2 linked regions of the Ovis aries genome follow. Each later gene encodes a partner of the first gene's protein in a complex. Links are inferred from orthologs where the notes say so. Each region holds a gene or a part of one and is shown in the gene's direction. Other genes may lie near its edges.

Region 1 (4,108 bases):
TGGAAATGTGTGTGTCAGAGTCCCGCCTGACAAGCTCTGGGATTGCAGACCTGCACACAGAAGGCAATGGCACCCCACTCCAGTACTCTTGTCTGGAAAATCCCATGGACGGAGGAGCCTGGTGGGCTGCAGTCCATGGGGTCGCTACGAGTCGGACACGACTGAGCGACTTCACTTTCACTTTTCACTGTCAGGCATTGGAGAAGGAAATGGCCACCCACTCCAGTGTTCTTGCCTGGAGAATCCCAGGGATGGCAGAGCCTGATGGGCTGCCATCTATGGGGTCGCACAGAGTTGGACACGACTGAAGCGACTTAGCAGGAGCAGCAGCAGCACACAGATGGCAGGGCCTGCCAGGTACTGGCACCTTCGGGACGCTTGAAGATCTAATGTGATTTCCAGACGCCCCAGTGCTGTGCAAGGTTCTGGGCAATTTAGAACACTGTTTCTAGCCTGGCCAACTGAGATCCCTCATTTTAAAGTCTGAAACTATAATAAAAATGACAGGGTAATGAATACTCAAATTAATCTGAGCTGCTGTGTAGGTTCTCTTGTTTCTGCCCCTGATAACACTGGTTTTCCCCCACTCAGGATGGCTTAGCTACGTGAATCTTTTTGCACGCTTCCTGTTTTTCCCTGTTTCCATATGGACTTCTGAAGAGACTTTGACAAGCCCCCATGTAAAGTCCAGAGCCTGGGTCTCTTCAGACTTCACCTCGCCATCCAGACTGGTATCCTTGCTGGGAACAGAGACAAGGTTTTGCTGAAACTACTATCTTTAGGACCAGCCCATGGGGGTGCATGGGGACTTCATGATTGCACTTCCTTTTCTAAGATTCCTATTTTCCAGACTCTACTGACACCCTACCCACTTCTGCTGGGTCCCCAGGGCTCCGAACCCATCCTTCAGGCCTGTGGATGAGGCTGAGATCACAACCAAACTGGGCTCCCTGAGTGTGGACTCAGGCCTTCTTCTTTGCGGAGTCTCCTTCATTTGGGGGGAATCTTTCCACGGTGGAGCCTCAGAGGGCTGGGCTCAGAGAAGAAAATTATAAAGAATATTGACCTACTGGGGCAAGAGGTGTCCTGTGGCTGCCATTTGTCTGTGACCTTGGTAATGTTAGGACAGACATGGGCAGACTTACAAAGTCAACCCCTCCCCCCGGGAATGCAGAGTTCTACCCTGAACCTGTGGCGGAGCTGGGCACGGTGTTCTGTAATCCTGGTGAATATTCAGTGGGTTCTGTTCCCTTCACTGGCTCCTGTCTACGCAGACAGCCAGCTGGGAAGGAGAAGCAGAGGCCGTGCTGGCAGCAGTGACAACAGGGGACGGTGGAAGGAGCGCAGGGCCACCGAGGCTGACCCAGGCAGCCGTCGCCGAGCTCCCACCATGGGCAGCAGGGTGTGGGGCGCCTGCGTCCTCTGCTTGCTGGGCCCCTTGCCAATCGTGAGTAGCCAGCTCAGACCCTCCTGGCCCCGCACTGAGCTTGAGATCTGGGAACCGCTGGGCCATCCTGGGGCCCACTGCCCTTCCCCAGCGCAGGAGTCTCTCTACTAAGCAGTCTGGTGGCCTGGCTTGGAGAACTCCTGACACCTGCGGTCCCCACGTCTCCTCCCCCTCCCTTCCCAGGCAGCCTGCTCATCCCTGGGGACCTCTGACAGCAAAACGTCCTTCCTGGAGTTGAACTGAGTTCAACTGCCCATTGCATCCCCCAGGGCCTGTCTGCACCCTCGGGGCCGCAAGACTCTGTCCTAAAACAGTACCTCTGCCTCCCTTTCACACCCTGAGTTTTCTCCACACCTCCTTCTCTGACAAGCTTGCAGAGCCCTCCCAGTCCTCACGATCCCTGGAGCCACTTGATTGAATTGCTTCCTTTGAAGAGGGTGTGGCCAGGGATTGAGTGTGTCTGGGTAGTAAGTGAGAAGTTGCTCCCCCTTCCAACATCTGGGAGCCTTTCCCTCGCAGGGCACACCCTGGGCCCTGAGTAGCTTTCCACAATCAGGTACAGTCCCGAGGCCTAGAAGGCTAGGGAGCAGGCTGCCAGGAGGGGCCCTCTCTGAATGTTTTGTGTACTTTCCTAGAGTTTAATGCAAGTGACAGTGACTTGGGGACCAGGATGGGAGACACAGTCCCAGATTGGAAGCTGTGGCTCCCAGAGTCTCCTGTGAGCTCACAGGACTGAGGTTGCCCTCTTCCTCCATTGGCTTGTATGTGAGTGTGTGTGTGTTTGACAATGTGTGTGCATGTGTGTGAGTGTATGTATGTGTGAGTGTGTATGTGTGGCCGGGGCTATACCTGCTCTCCGTGCACGGCCTTTGAGCTTGGATACCGGTGCTGTGAATTCGCCACGTGACCTAGGTAAGTCCCTTCCTGAGCCTCACTTGTCTCTTTTGTAAAGGAAGAAAATAACGTCTGCCCCCCAGGGCTATTGTGCCTGGAGAAGGGTCTGACTTGCCAGAGGCTGGGCCTGCGGCGCATCATGGGTGACTTCTATTTCCCTCCCCGCGCTGCACAGAGTGGGGCTTCCTCCCTCTCATCTGTGTGCACCCCACAGGAAATGCTTTACTCTAGAAGGGGGACGGAGATCCTGTGGGGGTCACTCAGTCACTGGTGCCAGGGTCAGGGTTAGCACTAAACCCCAGTCTCCCGGTGTGGCCTCTGTCCTGCACAGAGCCCAGGTCAGCTGTAGCCATGGTCAGCCAGGCCAAGGTATGCAGGATGACAGTCTCCCCTCAGGAGGAGTGGGGTCCTGGACGTGGGCCAGATGATCCCTGGTCCCACAGTGAGCTGGGGATCCAACCGGAGTATTGAGATAAGTCTTGGAATGATCCACGTCTTCTCACCCCTAGCAGTTTCCACCTGTGACCACACATCTGGGTCATGAGTTGAGCTTCCCTGAATTTTTCTTCCCTTGGGAAGTGTGGTGGCTGTCTGTTTCTCCTTTTGACGGGAGGCTTCCCACCAGGGGCCTTGGTGGTCCCATAGTCAGGCCCTGAGAAGGCGTCTCAGGGAAGGATGGGATTGTAGATGTGGAGGGGGAGGGGGGCGGATGGAGCCCATGGTCTCATATCAGGCCCCGCCCTCCCCATCTACCCCCTTGTGGACAATCAGACTGCTGTGTGGACATGTTGGGGAGGTAAGACTGGGGCTCTCCTCTGAGGTGGCCCTAGGCTCACTGAGTCCTGGGAAGAAGCCAAGAGGTGTTCCCAGATTGGAGATCCAGAGCCCGAGCTGCAGGTGGAATCTGCATCGTGAGGTCCCAGGGCCCAGGCAGGAGATGGCAGAGCTGAGCCCAAGCTGGCTTTGGGGGAGTGGGGTCAGCCAGCCAGGACTGGGGTGTCCTCCCCTGCAGGGGTGGGTCTGCTGGGGGTGACCCTCCTTACTGGTCAGGGTCTCCAGGTCCTCTCCTAGCCCACTGGCCTTTGGGTCCCTTCCACGTGGTCACCTACTGTCGACTACTCCCATTCTAGTGTTTGAAGTCTCTGACCCCAGCCACTGTCTCATACCCACTATGCTTTTGCTGCGCCTGGGTTCCTGCCAAAGGACGCTAGGAGTTAATGAACCACCTGCTGACATGGACTCTGTGCCAGACACTGGGGGCTTGTGTGTGTGCATGTGGATGTGAGGATGGCCACAGGCAGGGCTCTCCCCTCACGCAGCTCAGGTACATCTGCCCACTCTCTTGTCTGGGCACGTTCTAAAAATATGTTCCTTTCTCTTCATATGTTCGGCTCAAATGCCACCTCCTCAGTCCTTGTGAGAGGGGCCATGCCCTCATAGTGCTTGCCCAGCCCTTGCTCAGTTTGTATTAGATGTATTAGGACCAAGTGTTAACTCCCTTCCTCACCACACTCTTCCCTGGTAAATCCTTGGGCACAGAAATCTACACTGATTGAATTTGATGCGCATGTTGGATTCAAACGTGGGCTGTGGATCCATGTTCACAGTGTAAGGAGCGTGTCTTGTAAAGCTGAGTTCCTTCACATGTGTCTGTGTGGGGCTGTGCCCTGTTGGATGGTCAGCTTTTCTCCAGTCTGGGGAAGTGGGAGGGAGAGGTGTTAAGAATTCCTGCCTTTGACTCAAGCTCCCTGGGGAACTTGTTAAAAT
Region 2 (3,302 bases), on another chromosome or scaffold:
GAGGAGAAGTGAGCCCAGGGATGGAAGTGGATTCCTCCCGGGCTGGCCCTGCCTGCTGGAAATCCCTTCTGAGCAAGACCTGCCAGAAATGGAGCCACTCAGGGAGATTGTGGGCCGTGAGGTGTCTCTTGCCCTTTCCGGGGCTGTCCGAGCATCTGGAGGGGTCCGTATGCCCCTAGAGGGGACATCCTGCTGAGAGGGATGCCCCTGGGAGATGGGAAGTCCTGACCCTGAGGTGACTGAGTCTTCCTGAGCCCAGCGGTTTCCACCCCGCGGTCTGGGTTGATAGCAGAGCACGGCCCTAGCAGAGGCGGCTCTGTCCCCTGTAGACTCTTCTTCCTAATTGCCGAGCATGGTGTCAGCAGGCCCCCATTAAGGATAATTACGTGATCTATGAGATGGTTCTGCCGCCGGGCTCCCCAGGTCCCTGGTCTCTTCCAGGGCTAAAACTCTTGGGCAAAATCTAAATTTCTGGAGCAAGAGGCACAGCCGTTATCCCTTCCCTCCAAGTCCACACAAAACAAGACAGCCTGCCCTCTGAGCAGGTCCTCAGAGCAGAGGTGCGTGAAGAACGCCCCCGTGCCAACCACTCACGTCAGGCGCCTCATCTCAGTTCATGTTCACATGACCCTAGGCAGTAGGTCCAGTTATCAAGTCCATTTTATGGACAGAGAAACTGAGGTCTGGAAAGGAGAAGCCCCTAGTCCTGGGATGCACAGCTAGTGATGACCAAGCCTGGATGTGAACTCGGATTTTTCTGACTCAGACCCTGAGCTGTCAGCCCCACTTAATGCTGTCAGTGCCACACTGGGGCAGGGGGAGACTCAGGCAAATATGAGAAGCTGTTTGCTCCTCCCCAACTCCAGTCTTCTTGCCTGAAGAATCCCCACGGACAGAGGAGCCTGGTGGGCTACAGTCCATAGGGTCACAAAGTGTCGGACACGACTGAAGCGATTTAGCACACATATTATTCCTTGCTGAGGCCTGAGTCCCACATAGAATGCCCTATAGGAAGAGGTAGTTTCACCATTGTCTTTCATTGTGTGTTCAACCCTGTGAGGTCAGCAGCATAGCCTTGTCATGCCCATTTTACAGATGGAGAAAATGAGGCCAGAGTTTGTGACTGGCAGAGGCAGAACTTGAACCCAGGTGTGTCAGACTTCGAGTCTGCTCCATCTTCCCTACCCCACAGCTTCCAAAAGACAAGGACCATAGCTCTCACAGAGCCAGGCTGAGGGCCAGAGCTAGCAGAGGGCATCCCAGTGTCTGTGGCTATGCCTGACCTTTTCTTCCTGTCTGTCATTTCCCAGGTACCAGCACAGGGGTGAAGGATGCTGCTCTGGGTGTTCTTCCTCGTGACCCTCACCCTCAGCAGCGGCTCCCAAGGTTCCCTGCCCTCCCAGCCTCTCAGGTAAGCAGTTCTGACAAGAGAAGCAAGAGAGGCACTTTGAGGATGCAGAATCGAGCTGGTCCCCAGCTGGCTCCTCAGGCAGCCTCCCTTGCTCATTTCTGGGAGGGAGGGAGACTGAGCCCCAGAGAGGTCACCACCCAGCCCTGGTTCCAGCCCTCTCTGGGGATGAGCAGGGCAAGAGGCAACAGAAGAACCTCACAGAGACCAAGTGAGCACAGTCCCCTGGGCCTCCCACCCCACCCTTTGACCTCTGACTCCTCCTAGGATCCCACGGTACGCAGATGCCATCTTCACTAACAGCTACCGGAAGATTCTGGGCCAGCTGTCTGCCCGCAAGCTACTCCAGGATATCATGAACAGGCAGCAGGGGTGAGCCAGCGTTCTCGTGACTTCTCCCTGCACCCTCGGTTCATCACGATTTGGAGGAACCAAGTCTGGTCTCTTCGCTTGCACAGCAGCTGTCACTTCTGGACTTGCCAGGGCAGAAGGGCTCCAGTGTTGAATCTCGTCTTAACCCTTAACTAATAAATGATCATTGAGCATAGATGCTTGTCCCTGAGTTGGGCTCCAGTAATAACACTGAGAGTAGTCACCACTTGACTGACTCTACCAGAAAAAAAGACTTTGCACTGGTTCATCAATATACTCCTGGCACAGTGCAGAGCAAGCCCTTGGCAGTGTCAGCCATTATGCTCAGGTTCTTATGTGCTCTTTCCAACAACTTTACAAAGGATGTGTCCTCTTACCCTCATCACACAGAAGCTACATTAATAGCTTCTAAAGGACACACACGACTGAGTGGCAGAATTAGCATCCAATCAGCCTGACTCCACTGCCTGAACATGTTTTAATTTTCATTTTGAAAAAATTCCAAATTTACAGAGAAGTTGCAGAAATAGCACAAAGGGCTTTAACATGCCCTGCCCTAAGAGTCAACAATTCCTAATATTTTTTACTATATTTGCTTACTCCATATCTGGGGCTTCCCTGATGACTCAGTGGTAAAGAATCTGCCTGCAGTGCAGAAGACGTGGGTCAGGAAGAGTCCCTGGAGGAGGAAATGGCAACCCACTCCATTATTCTTGCCTGGAAAATCCCATGGACAGAGGAGCCTGGCAGGCTACAGTCCATGCGGTTGCAGAGTCAGACATGACTGAGCATGTACACACAAACACACAAACACACACACACTCTCTCTCTCTCTCTCTCCATATATATATATATATATATATATATATATATATATATATATATGCCTAGATACAGGTCTAGACATACGTACACAAGCTCAGGTATGATTATGAGTATTATTGTTTTGCTGAACCATTTGAGAGTGAATTATAATCATCATGACCCTTTATCCTTAAGTACTTTTGTGTGTCTCCTAATAGCTAATCAAAGGATACTCTCTGATATAATCACAGTATAATTATCACTTAGAGTCCATATTTAAATTTCACTAGTTGTCCCAAAATGTCCTTTATATAAATTTTAAAATATTTTTGGCTGCATGAGGTCTTAAGTGTAGCACACAGGCTCGTTCATTGTGCCACGTGGACCCTCTGGTTGCAGCACACGGGCTTAGGAACTGTGGTGCTCGGGCTCAGCTTCTCTGCGGCATGTAGGATCTTAGTTCCCCCATCAGGGATTGAGCTCATGTCGCCCATGGTGCAAGGCGGATTCTTAACCACTGGGCCACCAGGGAAGTCCCTGTAACAATTACTGATCTTCCTCATCCAGGACTCAATCCAGCCACAGGTGGCGTTTAGTTTCTTTTGGTCTGGATCAGTTCCTCAGTCTTTATGACACAGACATTTTTTATTAGTAAAGGGCAGTTCTTCATAGAATGTCCCTCATATTGGGCTTGCCGGGGGCTTCCTCATGAATGGAT

Evidence for each region.
Region 2: the proteins of GHRHR (region 1) and GHRH are in contact, whole or in part, in a cryo-EM structure (PDB 7CZ5), measured with the Homo sapiens proteins. The link is inferred for Ovis aries from reciprocal best matches to the Homo sapiens genes GHRHR and GHRH. Residues at the interface, in NP_000814.2 of Homo sapiens: Leu119, Ala120, Glu122, Glu123, Phe126, Ser127, Val129, Lys130, Tyr133, Val179, Lys182, Leu186, Phe187, Asp190, Thr192, Asp193, His194, Cys195, Phe197, His210, Thr213, Phe217, Ala271, Cys272, Asp274, Leu275, Asp276, Trp282, Ile285, Ile289; in NP_066567.1 of Homo sapiens: Tyr32, Ala33, Asp34, Ala35, Ile36, Phe37, Thr38, Asn39, Ser40, Tyr41, Arg42, Val44, Leu45, Gly46, Gln47, Leu48, Ser49, Ala50, Leu53.

What each region holds. Positions count from the first base shown.
Region 1 is NC_056057.1:66,944,737-66,948,844, reverse strand, and holds the start of GHRHR (growth hormone-releasing hormone receptor precursor), read left to right. Parts: upstream 1-1,306; 5' UTR 1,307-1,390; coding exon 1,391-1,447; exon of another isoform or gene 1,448-2,359; intron 2,360-4,108.
Region 2 is NC_056066.1:66,191,788-66,195,089, reverse strand, and holds part of GHRH (somatoliberin), read left to right. Parts: intron 1-1,310; 5' UTR 1,311-1,331; coding exon 1,332-1,411; intron 1,412-1,675; coding exon 1,676-1,780; intron 1,781-3,302. UniProt on the Homo sapiens protein: GRF is released by the hypothalamus and acts on the adenohypophyse to stimulate the secretion of growth hormone.